Linked DNA regions of Styela clava. The protein of the gene in region 3 binds, or shares a complex with, the protein of the main gene of each other region. Links are inferred from orthologs where the notes say so. Each region holds a gene or a part of one and is shown on either strand. Other genes may lie near its edges.

Evidence for each region.
Region 1: exosome complex component RRP41-like (region 3) and exosome complex component CSL4-like share a complex: the UniProt entries of both Caenorhabditis elegans proteins name them as parts of the RNA exosome complex. The link is inferred for Styela clava from reciprocal best matches to the Caenorhabditis elegans genes exos-4.1 and exos-1.
Region 2: exosome complex component RRP41-like (region 3) and exosome complex component RRP4-like share a complex: the UniProt entries of both Caenorhabditis elegans proteins name them as parts of the RNA exosome complex. The link is inferred for Styela clava from reciprocal best matches to the Caenorhabditis elegans genes exos-4.1 and exos-2.

The regions. Positions count from the first base shown.
Region 1 is NC_135261.1:9,032,276-9,038,689, reverse strand, and holds exosome complex component CSL4-like, read right to left. Parts: upstream 2,149-6,414; 5' UTR 2,127-2,148; coding exon 1,533-2,126; 3' UTR 607-1,532; downstream 1-606. Other genes in the region: methylmalonic aciduria type A protein, mitochondrial-like, read right to left, coding at 1-563; uncharacterized protein LOC120329759, read left to right, coding at 3,391-3,588, 4,068-4,226, 4,688-4,879. UniProt on the Caenorhabditis elegans protein: Non-catalytic component of the RNA exosome complex which has 3'->5' exoribonuclease activity and participates in a multitude of cellular RNA processing and degradation events. Involved in regulation of antisense ribosomal siRNA production.
Region 2 is NC_135254.1:13,467,805-13,474,963, forward strand, and holds the start of exosome complex component RRP4-like, read right to left. Parts: upstream 3,016-7,159; 5' UTR 2,841-3,015; coding exon 2,705-2,840; intron 2,560-2,704; coding exon 2,399-2,559; intron 1,856-2,398; coding exon 1,706-1,855; intron 1,326-1,705; coding exon 1,112-1,325; intron 543-1,111; coding exon 385-542; intron 70-384; coding exon 1-69. UniProt on the Caenorhabditis elegans protein: Non-catalytic component of the RNA exosome complex which has 3'->5' exoribonuclease activity and participates in a multitude of cellular RNA processing and degradation events. Involved in regulation of antisense ribosomal siRNA production.
Region 3 is NC_135257.1:18,366,668-18,374,285, reverse strand, and holds the start of exosome complex component RRP41-like, read left to right. Parts: upstream 1-4,538; 5' UTR 4,539-4,632; coding exon 4,633-4,773; intron 4,774-6,053; coding exon 6,054-6,107; intron 6,108-7,196; coding exon 7,197-7,357; intron 7,358-7,618. Other genes in the region: thiopurine S-methyltransferase-like, read left to right, coding at 1-569; thiopurine S-methyltransferase-like, read left to right, coding at 1,647-2,330. UniProt on the Caenorhabditis elegans protein: Non-catalytic component of the RNA exosome complex which has 3'->5' exoribonuclease activity and participates in a multitude of cellular RNA processing and degradation events.

The DNA.
Region 1 (6,414 bases), on a different chromosome or scaffold from region 3:
ATAGCTTCAGTAGTGTTTCGTGTTACACCACCTAGTGTACCCTGAGCAGGTGAAGGACGAATGTATGCTTTCGGATTACGAGACAAGTTTGTCATTCTTGTTTTATCTCCGAGAAGTGACCCCCCTGTTCGACTTGAAGAGGGGTCTACAGCTAGAATTGCGACTTTTAAATCATGTTTTTCAGTAAGGTAGCTTCCCATTGTTTCAATGAATGTAGACTTCCCTGCACCTGGGGGTCCAGAAAGTCCGATTCGAAAAGATTTTTGCGAAGATCTTGATGTTTCCGATATTACCAATTGTAGCAAAATCTGTCCCATCAATTTTTTCTGTTTATTTGTTGATTCAACTAAAGTTATAGCACGAGCGAGTGTGGCCCGATCTTTATTCTTAATTCCATTAGCAAGGTTTCGTATGTAATTAAATTCATAAGAGTCTTTAGGAAATGTCTTTGTGATGTCATAATCACCTGATAAAAATGCGTGCTTAGAGTATGGTTTTAAAGATTTGAATCGAACTGAAAGATATGGAAACGGCCGCAACGACAGCTTTTTGAAAATTAACATATTGGAAATAAAGAAAGTATTCCCTATCTAACAATCATTTGACCTGGAAAAAAAGATATGATTGTAAATGTAAGACAATTCATACAAAATGGAAATTCAATTTGAAATAAATCGTCATGACTTTGAAACTATTTTTAACAAGGACAGATTTTTCAGTTTCAGAAGTTGAATTTTCTATATTCAAATTTACAAATAAGTTTGTCAATATTGACATGAATGCAGAGAGAAACAATTCTTTTATAAAAAAAAATTTACAAACAAATCGTTTTGTTATCTTTCCAATTTCGAATGTTGATAATAAATATTGTTTAATACTCATTTTTATTTTCCATGAGCGAAACTTAGAATTTCTTCGATAACATTTCAAGCTTAATCAGAAGTTTTTTTGTGGAACTGTTTTTCTTTACTCATTTATAAATATTGTTTTAATTAAGACCACCCATTTTAATTAACATTTCCTCATTAATTTGTTTTGATAATCAGATGCCAAAATTTTAATAAAAATTAAAAATAGTGATAATAAGGACAACCAAAAATAGTGTGTTACTGGGAATGGCACAAAAAATAATAAATTTCGGAGCAACATGTGAATATCCATGGAAAATAAATACACACATTTTTATTATGTTATTTGTAACTTAAACTAAGATTTTATACTTAGTAGAATAGGCAAGTTTGAAAATTACACATCTAAACGAAGTTTGATGAATTTAACTGCAAAATTATAGTTCCAATATTCAAAACCAACCAAGTAAATAGCTGCAGCACTTTCTATCAAACGATACGATAGAATACGCAATAACAAAGAATGTTCTAATAAGGAGAGAATTTATATTGAAATGCTAGTAACCGACATGATTGGAATAGTTGACTTCGCAGAGAGCAATATTTTCAAATGAGAAGGATGAAACATCACCGATTTTTACTGAGAAGACAGGGAAACAATGATGTTTTACCAGAATCTACATCTTATTGTTTTAAATAATGTTCCTGTGGTCTTGCAACTTTACGCGATTCTTTTACATACGAAACAGGACATTGCATTTCTTGCCAACTGATAGGCAACATCAGTTCTCCGGCTTCACTACGTGCAAGAACAACACCGAGTCCATTTTCCGCTGTAGTTAACAAATAAGATGATGCATCACCTAGTGACAAAACTTTTGCTAAAACTACATCACCGGGACGAAAACATTTCGGAATTTCAACTTTTTCAATGTCCTTTGCACGTACGTCCTCACGTCTTATGATGCCTCGCAATGGCTCGGACAACCTCGCGTTATTAACGGCTGTAATTAAACATTTTGCAAAGCGACCGCTGATTCCTGTGACTTTACAAGTGACTATGGAATCGATTTGTGGGAGAAGTTGTTGATGGTGCTTGGATCGCACAGATACAGTAATTATATCCTTGTCATTTTGTTCGCTCCGAACCATGCCAGCTAATGATGCAAATATATATCCTCGTTTTACATAAGTTCCAAATCCTGCCCGATGGTGTTCAGCACTTGCGAGACGTTCCCCCGGCACACATATTTGACTGCTTTTCAATAGTTCTGCCATTTTTATTTAGAACTGTCTGGAACTAAAAAAATAATGAGCCATGAAAATATATAGGTAACTTAATATACTGATATAACTGTATAATGGCCAAATACGGGAATAAGCGTTTTCAATTCAATTTTTAATTTAAATCAGTAAATGAACAAACATGCAGAAATGGTCATACAGTCATAGAAGAGCATGGGGGTTTCAGAATGCAGGAATGTGTCATATTGAATTTCATCTAAACCTGCCTACATAAAAAAAAATATGCTGATCTACATGCTATGAATCAATCATTAAATGCTCATTTTAAGTCTTAAATTTTATCATTTCGTCGGTATATATAAATAATAAAAGTCAGCCTGACATCAAATTTGACAGGAACATGGGAAATCCCCCAAAATTCCAATGCATCCACATTGCCAGCGAGGGAGGCATGGCTTTTTCACAAGATCCAACGTGCTACACGAGCGACATATAGCGATAAGAAATATGAATATTGGGAAAAGTCGTTGTTTACAGATAATTTGTATTTTGAATATTTGTATTTACATATTTCAAAAACAATCATGTTATTTTAGATGAGGAATGCAAAATACTTTTGGTTTTAAGATGACAACACGGCACAAGAAAAATGCGAAAATGTAACGGGATTCCCCTACGCTGAAGTACCCTTTGTCATGGTTACAACTCACAACCCTTACGAGGTTCAGCTTCGTAAATATTTCAGTAAATTTAGGTATGCATTAGATTTTATCATTGGGGAGAACAGTTACCCTTTTTAAACTAAACACGAAGGGGGATGGATATTTCTGATTACAATCCAATGTCAAAGTTTTAACTTTCAACTTAATAAACTTATAAATAAATTTATAAATATAAGTTATATATAAACTTACAAAAAAAATTATACTATTATAACTGCCCGTACGAATTAATATTCATGAATAGAAATTTTCAGTCACTTCATATAACTACCTAATCTGAATCATGAGTCAAAATCGGTTACAGTAGTTTGTTCATTCTATTAATCGGTAAAAAAGGTATATTAATCTGCAAAATAGGGAGTAAAATAAATGATAAAATCAGATCAAAGAATAGGAATAAGGTTTAAATTTTTTTATAGAAATGGTTGGTTTTTCTCATCCTAGGATAAGTATAAAAGCTCGGAACATGGTAATGAATATAATAAGCTACAGTCAATCCTGCATTTCTTTTTCATAGATTCACATTATGTCATAGATTTCCAAGTTAAATTTCATAAAAGCAAATAAACAATCGAATGGCGAAAAAGGGCAAAAAAGGAAAGGGAGGGAAAAAGAAATCAAAAAGAGTGAAATGGGATGAAGATTCAGATATTTATCAGAAGAAATTTTTAGGAACGTATGAAATGCAATGCACGCTTGATAAATCCATACCCTGTGTTTGGTTACAAAAAGCATTGAAGAAAGGAATTGAAGATAGAATGTATGCGAGAAAGGTGATTGGTCGAAAATTTTTGCAATAACATTAGCGATTTTTTATTTTTTTTATTTCTTCGTGTTTTATGAACTCGTTTGCCAAAATTCGGCAGCTATATTTATGGCCAGTATTCAGATTTTTGTCTAATATTTCTTTCTATCCGGTTTAGTGTAATATAAAAATTGAAATGGGCCAAAAAGGTTTTTCTCAACAAAATGGTCAATGCTAGGTTTAGAATGTCAGTCAAGGGCTGAATATTTTAATTCAATTTCTAGTTCGTCTGCTACCCTATCCCATGAATAAACACTTCGGTAAAAGTATAATATGTATATGATTTTATAAATTAATGTGGGAAAAAGCCGATACGAGGCCTCATTCAAATGATAAACCATTGTATTGTTACCAGTCATTGTAAGGTAGAAGATCTTCTATTCATCAGAGTAATAATTTGTTTAAAAAATATTTGATTTTAAATAAAATTCTACGCTTCCATTTTAGTTCATTATTGAAGAAGTTGATGTAGGAATGAAAGATCCTAATACTCCTCCGGTAAGGTTGCGACCTGTCGTCCGATCAATTCGTAACGAAAGATTCACTCATGTTCATGAAATATGTTGCTGGGATTTAGAAACAGAACATGATGAAGTTGCTGACTTGGTAATTTTATTTTATTCGTCGACTCATATTTTATTTATTAGGATCAAACATGATCCTAACACTTAGCACGATGCGCCAAACACTGAGCTGTTTTTCATAATATATCACAATAGATAACAATTATAATATCATATTTAAAAATGGTCTTCAGGGAAAAAAATGGGCATTTCAGAAGTATCTATACCAATATGGAGGTAATTAATTTTGTCCACCTACTTTACATCAAGTTGTGTAGAGAGACTGTAACCTATGGGCAGGGAGTATATTCACTTGGCTAACGCAGACAGTCCCTGAAATGGTATTAGGCAGACACTTCCTGAACTCGTAATAAAACTAAAATAAGGAAAATCGAAATAAAATTATGGCCTGGTATACACATTACGGAAGTACCAAAAATGTGTATGAAAGTGAAAAAATATTTGCTTTCTAAATTAATGATAATATTAAATATTTCATAACAGGCACTACTTCTGGAAAAAGGTTTTTATCCAGTAAGAAGAATTGAGCTCATGGATTGTGACATTCAACATTTCACTGTTGCCAGATTTTCTAAAGCATTCAGGGTTTCAAATCTTGTTGAAATCAACTTAGATTACAATGAATTTGGTGATGCAGGATGTGTTGGTTTATGCAATGGACTCAAGAATAACAAGGTAACTGTTATCATTGATGTACTGGGATGTTTAGTAATAGTAATTTGAACCTGACTCCAAACTCTGAGCAATTTAAAAACTATGACTCCAACTTTAGTTTGCGAAGAACTTTTGACTCTTTTGTGGTGTGTTGATCATGCTTTGTCAACATAATTCCTTATTTTCAGTTTTGGCCAAAATTTTGACTTTGATTAAGTAATGAATGAGAAATATAGTACCTTGATATAAGGCTTTATTCAACTTAAATTTAAAGCCCACTCAGAAATTAGAATGAATCTAAAGTAAAATATAACACAAGTAAATGTTATTAAACAAGAAAACAAATACGTATCGAATTGCTGATGCTAACAGTAAGCGGCTCAATAGTTAAATGAATAAAGTTGAAAGAATTAACACACTACATCTACAGTACAGCAATGATTGGTGTCTGATTTAAAATGCTACAGCAATCATCGCTTGACTGCAGATATATATATAAACAAAGGGATACATTGACTTGCATTTTCAAGTTGTCACAGATTAGGACTCTTTTAGGTCTGAAATTTCTACTTCCACCCTTGGGAGTTTGAAACATCCTCCAATATCGATTATAAGATGTGAAAATGCCCACCAATGCTAATGCAAAAGTGTAATTTTACACTGAAAAATTATTCTATATTAAATACAAAGTTATACCATTCAGTGTTTGAAGATTTGACGTGGTAATTTATATCTTATGTCCACATTGCCGGCTCGGCGGTTTGGTAAATCGTTTCAAGCGCTAGGAATACGCTTGCCACCGCACCTCTGATTACCCTGCATTGGTTCGCATGTTCTAATCTTGTGGGGTTATTAACCCTTTCTGTGCGGTGGGCACGTATACGTACCCACGACAAAACTCGCTAGTTTGCGGCGGGTACGTTGATGTACTCCACTGTTTTATTTAGCAATCGGTCGCAAACTGTTGGTCTAGTTTTTCCGGGTTTTAGTTTATTGATAAGAAGTCTTCTTCGAGATTAACATAAGCGACGGTAAATCTCGCTTTCGTTTACCATGGGAATTTTATTTGCGGCGGAACGAGGGAGTATTTTTGAAATTTATGCAAATTTCGGTGTTTTTTGGGTGGTAATAGAAGACATATTATTCCTTCCATCTACCAAAGTATTTTGAGTTAGATAACGAAATTGCTACAGCAATATTATGCTATTGTTTGCCAACCAAGAAGCGGTAACAGTAAAGGATTTAGCGAATATTTCTATTTTTTTTCACGGTTTGAAGTTTCAACACCCAAGAAAAAAAATGCCTTTTTTCTATCCGGTTTGTGACTCAGACCACCCCTTTTGAAAAAATAAAATTTTCAATCGCCAATTGCAAGCTCTTTAAATAAGCTTTCCAACGAGCCGTCAGTGGGCAGCAGAGGATCATTACTTTTTCGTTAGTCGATCGATTAGTTGTGGGGGTACAAATGCATAAAGTCGGTGTAGCAAATACGATTATTTAATAAAAGATAAAAATCGCATGGAAAGGGTTAAATATGTGCGAGAAAATTGCGAGAC
Region 2 (7,159 bases), on a different chromosome or scaffold from region 3:
TCTTCGTAACCTCAACACAGCTTGATTTACAACATCACTCATGATGTCAGGATTGAGTAGTTCCTTGATCTGAATAGCAAAAATTTTACCAGAATACTAATCAAAGATACTTAAATATACTCATGCATGCCACCTAAATATATTATTTATATATGCAATTGAAATGCTCGACACAAACTGGGTTGGCATCCCATACATTTACACGACAATTATGACAAGTGAGTGTAAAAATTAGTTCGTTGCAGAACGGGTGGGAAATTGGACAGGAGGGAGACCACCCTTTTGGTGACCTCTGCACTGAATCATGGTCACTTACCTACCTATTCCATTTATGCATCATCCCCCGCAGGACAGTGTAATTGATATGTTTTACAAACAACAAACCTGATGGCTGAGTGAAACATCATAGGTGTACATTATACTTGTATCATAAAGTTGTATATTATGTTGTGCAAGACATTTTATACAATTCCGAAGTCTACAAATAACTTCTCTATCTTCTAATGCCACTGGTTCAACATCTGCAACAAATCCGCCATGACCTATAAAACAACAATTGTTGCAAAGCATTTGAAGAAATAATTGGCAGCAAATATGATTCTTGCTCTTGGCCAGGATTAGTGCAGAGCAAAATCAGTTGATTCTATGATAAATTCAAAGAATGTCAATGCTTTGCTATCTCTTGTTTGGATTCAGAAACAAATTTGCGCAAATCTGAGGCTAGTATCAGAGTCTAAACGACTGGTTCTGAAGACCCTCAACATAATATAACACAATCAACATGTGTTATATGCAACGCAGCCTAATATAAAACGCCTGCAAACGAACGAAACCGCCAATTGACTCTAAATAATTGTAGCCACTTAGCGGGCTGAGGGCCATTTTTTGCAAAACCAGGATCAAGATTATCTACTCAAAGCCGGGAGCAAATTTAGAATGAATTAGAGTAAGATGTAACATGATAAGAGCATGATATTACGAGCTTCACAAAGTCTCCTCAGCATTACAAAATAAATGAATTCACAAAACTCTGATATTTTTGTAAGATTGAATAAGTTTAGTGACTGAACATTCGATTCAAACCAGTCATTCAACGATTCTTCAAACCAACCTTTATCCATTTCCTCATTATCAGTAGCAGGTGTTGCATAGATCCAAATAAAGCCGTTATTTGCAAGAACAACAGTAGCACCACATGGTAAATTGTGAATATGATTTTTCCTTCTTTTTACCAATGATGGAGAAACTACAACTAAGCAACCTTGCCCCAATTTCCCATATCTCAGACTCCTTGTATGTAGTGAAAGAGATCCATCATTATGCACCTAAGCCACATTAAAAAAAATTGGCAGTATATTCACTGTAAATGACAAAAACATATGACACTGAGTTGAATAGATTTGTTAATGATGATAAACTGTATTGCATTACATTGATACATAACAAGTTACATGAATAAACTCATATATGTTTTGCTCATAAGAACTGCTATTCAGTCTGCCAATGTCCAGTTGAGAAAAACCTGACTTATGTGTGAGTCATCAATTATTAACATATATCTGTGTGGTTTCAGTTTCCCTTGATATTTCAATAGTAGCCAATGACTCTATTCAAAGGTGACATCTTTAACTTTTGAGTGAGTGTGCACGATCCTGGTTTAAGTAATATTTCAAATATGAACACAAATAATAAAGATTGTACAGACCTGTTGAACTTCAGCGCTGATCAGATCTCCTTCTTTTAAATATTCTCTCATTGTTAGTTGATCAGCAGCTGATCTTCTTCTTAGTTCACCACCAGGCAAATTAACAAATGAAAGATGTAAAACCGAATCTACTCTGGAATTGGTGTTCACCTGAAAATAGAGAGGGCAGTGGTAAAATACACATATTTAAATGAACAACTTTTTAACTTTTTTTTCCCTTGCGTCTATTTGTTTGCACAGGTATTCAGGCAAGAAATTTGTTTACTGTTTTCTTTTACTTTATTTCTATTCAAACTAGTTTGTGTTGTCAACATAATCCAATTTCTTTGGAAAAATGACAGTGCTGTTAATTTATGCTATTTCAATCTAAGAAATAGAATTGGGGCCAACTAACTGAAATAGACAAAGGTGGGCTTCAAAACAGAAATAATGAGGTCTTCACAAACCCCATTACTAAGTATGTATCAGTGATTGCTTGTCCAGTGACTTGCTCATTAAGAGTGTGAAACGGTTTCTATATAAAAAATATGTTCAATGAGTGTGCTGATTTTGACGTCTTTTAAATTATCTGAATTACATTCAAAATAACAATATTCAGTTGGACTTTATTTGGATAATGCCAATAAGCATTTATAAAAAGTGTGAGAGGTCAATAATTGATATCAAAATGTTTATGTAAAAACAATTTTATACCTTCCATCTTTTTTGTTGAACTTCCTTTATCCTTCCAACAACAATATCACCAACTTCACCATTATAACGCAGTTTGAGAGGTTTCACGCTGATAAGTTTATTTATCCGTTCCACAACACCAGCAACACAAGCATGAAGTTTTTCATCTCTCATGTAACTTCCTGAACATAAAGGAGAAAACTTGCAATGGAAAAATACATAAAACTCTGAAACTCCAAACAAGAATTGGTCAGTTCTTTGTCATATAAATTTGCAAATGAAAAGATGCCTTTATACTGTTATAGGTAAACAACATTGTTGTCTCACCATGCCCTCTCATATAATCTGTATCATCTGTGACAATATCTCCAGGAGTTACGAAATGTGCCAATCCGTGTGAGCCCTTCTTCGTGGGCAACTTCGAGTATGCAGCAGGCCGACGAATTAGAATTCCTGATTCCATTACCGATTGGCTATTCCACGATTCAGATTTCAGTCATACCACCGACCAGCGGTACCGTACACTATCTCCAAACTATGATACTGAAAACCACGCAATTTCGTTATCTCTGTGAAGTTAGCAGGAAAACACGAAATTGGAGCTGTTGACTGTTGTGTGGCGAACTTCATCTCGTTTATTTTGTCTTCCATGAGGTGGCACATGTGCGCCACAACAAGATTATGGACGTTTCCCCGACCCTTGACCCCTGGAAGATTCTCCCCATACTTTATCATTGCAAAATTTACAACTTCGATTTTGAGAACGTTTTGGAGTGTTAGCGCTTACAAACTGGCTCACATGTTCAGAACTTTCATTTTTATTTATTACGATAAGCCACATGCCGCTTATAGGCATCGATAGCTAATTTTGGTCTGATATAGTCTATTGCAGGGGTTCTCAAACTTTTGGTGTTGCGGAGCCCGTGAAGATGTTGACTATTATTCAAGGAGCCCTAAAATAAATTTTAAAATTGTTACTTAACGATTAATACTACTGAGTAAGTTAAAAGTACTTTACTCGATTTAAATGCTAAACCTTTTTTAATAGGGTTAATACAAGTCATAAATAAATCTAAATTTCAAAGATAAATCATATATATTAAGGCTGTAAATTTAACACTTGACCAACATATTAATAAATTAGGGGTCGAATCTTTTTCCTTTTGATATTTTTGGAAGACTTAAAAGGTTGCTGCGCGATTGCATTTTGGTACAATCGCCGACTGTTTTCGTCAGCGAGAAACGTTATACCTTATTAAACATCTTTACGTCGGTGTTTATTCTCCCTGAATCAAAAATTTCCTCCGGCATATACCAAATTAAATGATCTAAAAACAACATTCAAAATTAAATGGCAACACCATTCAAAATTGGCGCTTCTCCGCGAGCGGTACAAATTTTCTTATCGAGCCACAGTTTGCACATCCCTGTTTTAAGGCATTCTGAAACTATCGTTGGGGCCACATGCAACTTTTACTCTGGTTATTATGGAATATAGTATAATGTATATATATAAAGGCGTATTCAGTCAATTTTTAATGTACTAAAACAAATCGTAGTTTTTTGATATTTTATCCGAGACCTAGGGATTTTTCATAAAAAATAATAGAAGTGGCAGAGAGGAGTACCAATATAAATTTGGGTAGACTTTGGGATTTTAGAGTAAATCTTGGAATTTTTTTTAAATACGATATCTTATAACTGGCTGTCAATACATTAGAAACTCTACCTACAAAATTAATTCGTTTCGGGAGCCCCATCTTAAGTAGAAAATTCTGTAAGTAAGGACGCAGTTTTCATATAAATGCCTTAATTCGTTCTAAGCCTACACAAAACTCGGACGTAACATTTATATAAATTTTAATACCGGGTAAACCCGTAACAATAACATGTTAGAATTAAATTACCACATAATAAAAAGAAAATGTACACATAGAAAGAATAGAGGAATAACCAATAAAAACTTCGAACGGTAGACCGTGTAGAGCGAGAGGATGGCGATCTGAGTTTTTTATTATTATTTCATTTTGCTCACTAAACCATTTGTTGATTCAGAAAAAACGCAAATATCATTACGCGATCATTTTCATAATCAAATGGGTACTCCCGAAGTATGTGAACCAAGATGGCGGACACCGGAATGTAGTATGTGTACCAGGTTAGGGTTGGGCCATAATTTCAGGTACAAATACTATACGGGAGTCACTTGGCTAGTCCCGGAACTCATAATAGAACAAAAATAAGGAAAAATTGTGGCTGAACTCGAACCTGGTACACATACTACGTTCCGGTGTCCACCATCTTGGTGCACATACTTCTGGGGCGCCATCAAAGTGAATCCGATTCCTGAATTTCCATCCGTCAATGATGGAGAGTTAAGACCGGAAATCGTGTTTTATTATTCGATTCAGTGCTGTTATAAATATTTCATGCCAGTAGTTACGATTTCATTTTTGATTGTCATCAACGACGTCGGGAAAACGATAAAATTCGTAATAGATACTGAATAATATTTAAGAGCTATTCCACACGCTCTAAATTGCAAGGAATGAAAAATTTCCCGTGATGTACGGTCACTATCGAAATTGAGGATGAAAACGATAAATAGCGACACAATTTGCTTTTAGAATTATCGCCGAGGCCTCACAAACTATCTCAACTAAATTTTAAATGTACGATAATAATTTCGTATATTATTCGTAAATCTCCGACGTGTTATAACCAATTCAAGTCAGCGCTAATTGAAATCTTCCCATGCGGCTGTAATATATTGCCTTGCGTACACGGCTGCCTCCGATTACGATAAAAATGAAGTATTTGTAAAATGTTTTTAATCGGAACATGGACCGCGGCGCTAGGATATGTGCGCTTATAAACTCGAAAAAACGATATTCGAAGGTCGCGATATTCAAATATTACCTTCGAATTGGACATCCCTGATTCAAGCACTGCATTAAATTAATCTCAAATTACACTACACGTGGTATTCAAGTTTTCGACCTTCCGTATGTTGACAATTTGAAAAAATCCGACTATTTTTACGAGTGGCGTAATTCGGCGAATGTTTTTCAGGACCCATTTCATGGAAATTTCCGAATTTTGATCTTCCCACCGCTTTGAAAATCTTGGCTGTGCCACTGAAAGTGTGTATTGTAACGCGAGTCTAATCGACCCTTTATTATGACATTTTGTGCCGGGACAATATGCCAAATTTAGGTTAATCATGCTTAAGATAAGTATTTCGCAAGCTTTGGACACGGAAATTGTTGGGATATCCATCCTCTGAAAAGCAATCGATTTTTACGATCACCTATTATCATCAAGGTCCTTATTAGCTAAATCATTGAGCTGAAGTTACAAACTTTCTATTACTATCAAATATCCCACATATCGTGTTTCAAAACGTTAAATTTTTACAAAGTATGATTGTCACTTCATCCATTAATTCCCATGCATTCGCCGACAAGAAATGCGACGGAACAGAAGATCAGTCAAGCGTTTACTATCTGCAGCATAACAATGGTCATTTTGATCCATTGTTAAGGTATCAATGAACATATGGCGAACCACGGCCTCTCGTCCGGTTACCAGTCCAGGTCGGGTATGGGATTTATTAGCCAGTTATTTTGTTTTCGGAAGCATGGACTTGATGGCGGAGGAAGCCGTAACCGACCAGCGGTTACGTGAACCATCCTATACGGCGGCGAGGAGTCCAGCAATCCTCCGCACATGATCACCCCCGCATGGGATTCGAACCTGCGAACCCGTGAAGGGTAACCAGAGATGCGGTGGCGAGCGTATTCCTAACGCTTAGCACGATGCGCCACACCGCATCTAAAGGTACTCAGAACCCACAGTGACAATTAATTTGTTTGATTTACAACTATTTTTCAGAACTGGAGACTGGCAAATTACACGCAAAACGAGGCAATGTTTACACCACGCTTGAATGTCTGAGCGAAAGAGCTGTCTGAGCGGCAGCATAAATTCCAATTGTTACGTCATTGTTAATTTATTGCTGATTTTTTTACGGAAATAAATAAGAAAATCGATGTCCTGGGATACATCTATTGTTTTCAAACGGTGAGAGAGAGAAATTCTATTATCACAAACAATGTCAACACTATGATACATTTGGAGTAACAGACTAAAATATAATTAACTATAATTGGTTGATCATTATCTGATCATTATTAGTGAGGGCCAGTATGCAAAACCGGTCAGGTCACCCAGGCTCCTTGCCCATGCTTTTTTTAGGAAATCAATCTGATATAGCAACGGTGGGCAAGCCGCATGCGGCTCGCAAGATATTTAATGCGGCTCGCAAGATATTTGCTGTGTTGGCGGTATGCCGTGATAGATAGGATTCACATATTTATCCTGGACAGCCAATATGTCGGGTTAATCATATGGCAATGTTTAATATGAAATTAGTTAGCCAGTTAATCGTTTTCAGATGCATGGACGTGATGGTGGAGGAAGCCGTTACCGACCAGCGGTTACGTTAACCACCCTACATTGGATAGGAGTTCAGCAATCCTCTCACACATAATTAACACCACATGGCAGAAATTTATGATACAATTTGGCAAGGAATCCGATGCAACAACTGAACCTAATTTTGGTATATCATAGAATGTTGCTCGTGCTAACACCCATATATATATATTCCGACTGTGATTTTCACAGTCAAAAATAAATACTTTTACTTTAATAATTAGAATAAAACGCAGAATCATTCATTGGTTACGGTGAAAATAAACATTGCACCGAAAGTGCAAT
Region 3 (7,618 bases):
TATTTGCCGATGGTGAAACAGGCCGCGTTTTTGTTCCGCTGTGCGGAAAAACTCTGGACATGATATTTCTAGCTGATAAAGGGCTTGAAGTTGTTGGATTGGAGTTCTCAGAAATCGGAGTTGAAGGGTTTTTCAAAGACAACAATTTGACCTACAAGAAAATGGATGTTGTAAATCAGCCTTTGGTGCAGTACAAATGCAACGAGAAAAATATCACTATTTACAGAGGTGATATGTTTAATTTGAACCCAGATGTCTGTGGCCAATTTGATGGCATTTGGGATCGTGGAAGTTATGTCGCAATCAATATCCCTACTCAGCAGAAATATGCTGATATTATTTTACAACTGATGAAACCAGAGGCGAAAATATTGATGGAGACTTTCACTTATGACACGTCGAGATACGGTGGACCTCCACATTGCATAACCTTAGAAAATTTACAAAGCACTTTTGGGTCAAAATGTGAAATTAAAGTTGTTGATACAATGACCATGCTCGCACATCCCGTTTTCAATGCAGGAGATATGATTATGACTCTTCCCTATTGTCTTCTTTCAATGAAATAAAGTTTTAAATTGACCATTGTGAATCAGATATAATATAGAGAGTCATGAAGTGTTGAACAACTTACAACTTTACTTTTAATCCTGGTTTCTGATTAACATGTTAATTTATTAAAGAACATAAATTAGTCAACATTCTGTAGTATCATTCTGATTTATTAAGTAAAATTAATGTTTGTTGTTTTGATTGTGGGAAGGGTAGTGCAGCCAATCAAAAGGTGTACGTCTATTTCTTATTAAAATCAAATTTATTCACGTTTTTGTCCAAATAATGTCGGTGTATTTTATAGTAATACCAATTTTAATTCAAAATAAATCTTATTTTATAAATAAAATAAATGAGAACTACAAGCACAATAAGATCGATTAATATACAAAGACAAAGAAATTTTTATTTGTTGATACTATAAAATCGGGAGAAACTTTTTGGACACCTGTATATTTCTAAATTGCTTGCTTTTTATAAGTATTTGTAATAAATACTTGTCTCACTCTGAATCGTTTACTAGTCAAAATGCTTCCTATAGAATATGAATATAAAGTCCAATTTTCTTCAAAAGCAGTTTCATATGTTTTAAGTTTTCAAATTTTATTTCCATTTCATAGACTATGAAGTAATATCTGTGTTTGAAATTTTTGGTTGATTCTACTGTATTTACATGCACTAAATATGTAAACCTTTTTTCTAAATAATTGCACTATGCAGGATGATTTGACATATATTTTTCCTTGTCTTGTATTCATATCATGATTTAGTAAAAAAGAGTAATAGTACTACCGTATATCCTCACATATAAGCAGAGTTTAAAACTCGAAAAAAAAGTTGCCAAACTAAGGCTTATACGCACATAACTCTGATCGCACTCAAAGGAATTGACGATGTTTTTCACGATTATTTACCTATGTTAACCCCAGTGATCAATATAGTATTTCATGATATGAATAACTTCAATAATGTAGGTCAAGAAAGCTCTTCATTCATAACTAGGTGCTAAGTCTTATTAATATTCATATATATTGACTTAATTTTATATATAATTACAGACCTTAGAAAGTAAAATATCACTATATTCTACAAACATGGAAACTAATCCTTTACCTAGGAGAGAAGTGGCCGTAGATGAATGGAAATGGTCAGCAGATCAAGACCCGAAATTTCATAGGAAAAATTACAGTCAGTTGCTAGTGAAACATTTTGAGAAACTTTTTGAAAATGGAACGACTGGACGTGTTTTCGTTCCACTTTGTGGAAAAACGATGGATTTGATTTTCTTGGAAGAAAAAGGATTAGAGGTGGTCGGTCTTGAGTTTTCAAAAATTGGAATCGAAGCATTTTTTGAAGAAAATAACTTGACATACTCAGAATCAACCTGTTCTGATAGCTGTCTTGTGGTTTACAAATGTAAGGAGAAGAATATTACTATTTACAGAGGTGATATTTTTGATCTAAAACCAGAATTATGTGGTCAGTTTGATGGGTTCTGGGACCGCGGAAGTTACGTCGCGATAAATATTCCCACTCAGCAAAAATACACAGACTTAATCTTCAGTCTGATGAAGCCAAAAGCAAAAATCTTGATGGAATCTATCACTTATGATATGTCAAAGTGCAAAGGTCCACCTCACTGCATCACGATTGAGAACCTTCAGGGCACATTTGGGGAAAAATGTAACATAGAAGTTATTGATATGATAAAGTATCCGGCAAATTTCCAACCAGATTTGGAATTGACAATTCGACTTTGCTTTATTTCTTTCAAGTGAAATAAATAAGTTGATTTTATAATATTAATAACAGTAATTTTGTGCAATTGCTGATTCATTACATAATTTTGTGCAATTGCTGATTCATTACATAATTTTATGCATATGGTTTTTCATTAAATAATTAGCACCACAGCTAGATTGATAATTTTTTTTTTAAATCCTTCCTTTGAACATTATTATCTAATGCAGGGGTGTGCAACCTTGAATACTGGATGGCTAAATGAAACTAACTGGGTTAAACTGCAGGCCACACCTTTATTGAAATAGACTCTCTAGTGATGCAGCCATGCAGGCTTAAAAATTTTGGTATTTATCTTACGACATGCGTTGTTCGCACAAGCTAGCTGTTTTAGGGGCATTGTAACGTCATAAGCATAGATAAAAAAAAAAATTGGACTCTGGTATTGACTTGGGATTCTTGCACGTATCAGATTAAACTAAATTAAAAACTTTTGCGGGCTGCGCAATTTTTCCTTGTGTGGCTCACGGGCCGCAGGTTACACACCCCTGATCTAACAAATTAACCTCACCCTCCATGAGATTTCAATCAGCATTTTATTATCTCTTGTAATGTCACTCATCTTGCCACTTCAGAATTTTTAATATGTAAATAATGTAGGAAATTGGAATTAGTTTGATTTTAAACTGGATATCGTTGTTCAGTATTTATCTAATTGGTAGAAACGGTGGTAGGGTCTAGGGCAGGGCAACATCCGGCCTGCGAAATTTAAGCATTTACCCCTTTTTCTTGCAACCCTATAATTATAAGAGCTTTTCTTATTTTTGTTTTGTGCAATCCCACTTGCTGTTGTCCTAGGAATATTAAGCGCAATATACTGGCATCCCTGTCGAATGGAAATACTCTAAATTTGGCCTGAAGTTAAAAGTTTGTGTATGGAATATGATAAAAGACCAGTGGTTTCCTAAACGTTCACGGTCCATGGCTGCATTGCAATATTTTAAACACTTGTGTGACCTGCTTTTCAATATTAACACCTAGTTTTGATTTTAACTCGTTTCTATCAGTTCAATACGGTGCAATGTTCAATACTGTAAAGACTACAAAAGAAAGCAAAATAATAAATGTATTGCACATGAAGAACTGTTGTACATGTTTTGGGCATCTATGCGTACAGTGAAATTACATTACATTGCAGAGCAAATATTATATTATATCTTAATTTTAATTGTTCAGTTTTTTTGATGTTGCTATTTAACTAAGTTCACAAAACTGCATTTTACAGTGTAATCGTCCCTGCATTTATACTGTATTTGTCTGACAGAATATTTATTAACGTGAAGTATATGATATTGCAATTCATGCCAAAAATGCAGTTTTTCTTGGTTTTAAAAACCTAATATTTTGAAATTAATTTTGTCCTCAGATTCTTGTGTGCTTACATGCCAAAATTGTTTCATTTTCCTGTTCATTTCTAATATGATACCTTCACTCAGTAAATGCAAAAGTATTAATTGATAAACAGTGTGTTTATAAAGTCCTGTTGCAACCCAGATTTGTTATGATGTCAGTTCTTAATATTTCTTGGCCAAATTTTGTTTTATTTTAATCAGTGATTAATTAATTTTTCCACTTCGTTTAATAGGCTTTCTTTATATTGTTCAATTTTATCAGAAATATTCAAATCATTTGTTCGATCCTATATGACTAAATGAAGTGGCAGACATGACCCTGTGGTCCCCAAGCTTTTTTTAAAAATATCACTCTATCGATTTTGGAATTTTTTATTTCTTCCTCACTATGTCACACTAATTGTCCAATCTTTAATGGATTCTTTGCTAGTGTTACGCATAAGTAATGAGGCATGAAAAAAAATCATAAATAACCATACACTTGTTGCTGAGTATTTTTGATGTTTTTTGCAAACCCTCGTCATTTGCAGCTTTAATATTGTTTTGTTTTATTTATCTATTCGTATAAATTTAAGCATTTTTGACCAAACCTAGATGAAAATCTGATTCTGTCTCGCAGACACAGTGCCATCCATTTCTCAGTGAATTTACATTATGTAACAGTAAACATATTACGTTAAAATACTCAAATACTTAAATACCCAGGGTGTAATATAAAAAATCGGGGAGGAAATGCAGAACAAGAAATATTTGTGTCCTTCCAGACTATACTTCCCTACCTAGCAGTATGCAACAATATACGTTGTAAAAAACAATACGTTGTATAAAAAATAGTACAGGAAAAATATTTTAAAGCCATTATGTTTTTAAAGTTCGAAAACAAAAAATTTTCATATTTTATTGATCATATTTAATCCAGTTAATAACTATGGCTGGTCTTGAATTGGTAACTGATGAAGGGTATAGAATTGATGGCAGACTACCAACAGAACTACGCCGGATTCGTTGTCGTCTTGGAGTGTTTTCACAAGCCGACGGTTCGTCCTATTTAGAGCAAGGGAACACTAAGGTACATGAAATTGGTTATATTTTTTTCTATAAAGACTTATTTTATCTAAGTTCTACTCAAACAGCTCCTTAACGAAAAAAACTTTTCAAATGAACGGAAATTTCCTGCTTTGGGATTCACTGTCTTATTTAGTTTATTTTGGCCAGACCTTGATCAATTCAGGTCCATCTGTATTCCGAATCGATTTCTTGGTATAAATTGAAGCTCAAAAGTGTCCTTCATAAAAGTTTTGAGGTGTGGTGCATTTGGCTGAGGCATGATAAAGGAAAAAATTTTCAAATTTATTTTAAGATGAGAGTAAAGTTAATAAGATGGCCTAATCATATGTCAGTAACTGACTTATGTATATACCAGTCCAGCGATCCCCTCGCACTAACTTATCCTCCACGAGATTAAAACATTGGAACTCCTAATGGGTTATAAGCAGTAGTGGGATTCAGCCAGTTCGCACCAGTTCTATAAAACCGTATCACGGAATTTCATGAGATCAGCGCACCGGTTAGGATTACTGGTTACTCCCAATGACTTTTGCGCGGCGGTGTGGCTCAACGAGCTAAACGTTAGGAATACGCTCGCCACCGCACCTCTAACTACTCTGCGTGGGTTCGCAGGTTCGAATCCCATGCAGGGATGGTTATGTGCGAGAGGATTGCTGGACTCCTCGCCGTCGTTGGGTGGTTCATGTAACCGCTGGTCGGTTACGGCTTCCTCCACCACCAAGTCCATGCTTCCGAAAACAAACAATACAGTAAAACTAATCCCATACCCGACTTGGAATGGTAACCGGACGAGAGGCCGTGGTTCGCCATATGGATAAGCTGTCTTATCGGCTTTCCTCTCCCCCGGGATAAATATGTAAATCCTATCCTATCCTAACAGAACCAGGTGAAAAATATGACTTTAGTAATGGAACCGGCTGACAAAAATATTGAATCCCACCACTGGTTATAAGTAATGTAATGACAAGCTTAATGTGCCAACCGCCGAGCCGGTTACAATCCTAAATGAACTCTTTATTGCAATTTACATATATTTTATAAATAATTATATCATGTCACAAATGTCACATACATCATTTGTCCATTTGCACTTCACAATAAGTTTGAGTAGAATATGTGATAACTTTGAAAAATGTTATTATTTTTTTTATTTTTATAACATTAATTGGTATAAGAATTTCATTAATAATCGATGCTTAATCATTTGGTGAACCATGGCCTCTCATCTCCATCATTGTATAACAATGAGCCGGTTTATAATTTCAAAAATTAAATTTTCAGATATTAGCTGCAGTCTATGGACCACATGAACCATCATCTAATATGAGAGGACAGGTAAGATAATAAGGATTGAGTTGAGTCATGAAATCTTCATGTTGAGGTGTAAGCTCTTCACGAAGCTTTGAACAGTATTTAGGGGTGTAAAAGCCAGTACAGGGAGTCCTCAGGTTACAGCGGTCGCGACTTACACTGTTTCGATGTTACGCACTCCATAAAAATATAAAAGATAATACTGTACTGTCTGTAATATCTAAGCCCTTAAACTGGATCATTGTGATCAAGAAATCAGTGCTTTGGACTCATTATTTTTTTTTTTTACACCGTGAATGACGTGGACAATTGCAAGTATTACGATTATGAACAAATAATCACTAAGCTTCAGTCGCATGGTACACAGTTTCAGTGATACTGTTCGCCATTTTGGTTGTTCCGACTTGCACTGAAATTCGGGTTACATCGCATCACAAGAACGGAACAACCTCGTAAGTCGAGGACAACCTGACAGTATGTGTTCTGGAGTTTTTCTCTTTCTCTCAAGGCTCTGGTGCTGGTGCAAAAAGGCTTTGGGCAAACAACTGATATACAGTTAGAAAGGGGAATGCGGACCTACTATTTTCAATCAGTGGTGACTAGGCCAGGGTTTACTCGAACTAGAGGCTCAGATTCACAAAGAAAATTTGTGACTTGCGCGTAGGGCTGAGAAGCCCAACTACAAAGATTTAACAATTAATCCGACATTCTAATTTTTAAATGTTTGGCACAACTTTCAAAAATATTAATATTTTTATTTTCCCACAGCTAAAAATTGTGGAAGATAGAAATGGGAATTACCAGCAGTCACGCTGTACAGATAGATACTTGAGCCTCTTTTTCCATTTACTCCAATCATCTAACAAAATAACATGACTAATCGCCATAGAGACTTTTATTTGGGACTCGAAGACATTGTTGTTTACAAAACTCAAGAGTTGAGTATAAATGCGATTTGAGGAAATTTGCTGTGATTGGTCTTGGCTATTGGTTTAAGGACCGTAAACTGTCATTAAATTTACCTGAGAAATATCTTTGAAAAACCCTGATTTCGCTTGTATGAAGATAAAAGATAGTTGAATACTTTCTTTATTATTATTTATCTATCCACAGATTCTCAGTGACAAAGCATTTCTGAACTGTGAATACAGTCAAGCAACATTTAGTACTGCTGAGAGGAAACATCGGTCACGCGGGGACAGAAAGGGTCAAGAATTGTCTATGCACATTAAACAGACTTTTGAAGCTGCTATTTTAACTGAATTATATCCAAGGTGAGAAAAGTTAAAATCGGTTATCAGTTATGTCAAAAATGGATTGAATATTCAAATTCATTCAACATTCGAATATTCAATTTACTAGTACTTTATACCCGATTTCAGCAATAAATTGAGAAATCTTACATTTGAAAATTTCCTGATATGTCATGGTCGAATGAAAAATTGAAAATCCTAACAGTAAAAGAACAGAAAATCAATCAAGATAACCACTACTATGAAACATCAGCCCAAATGCAGTTTCGTGAAGACTCAACA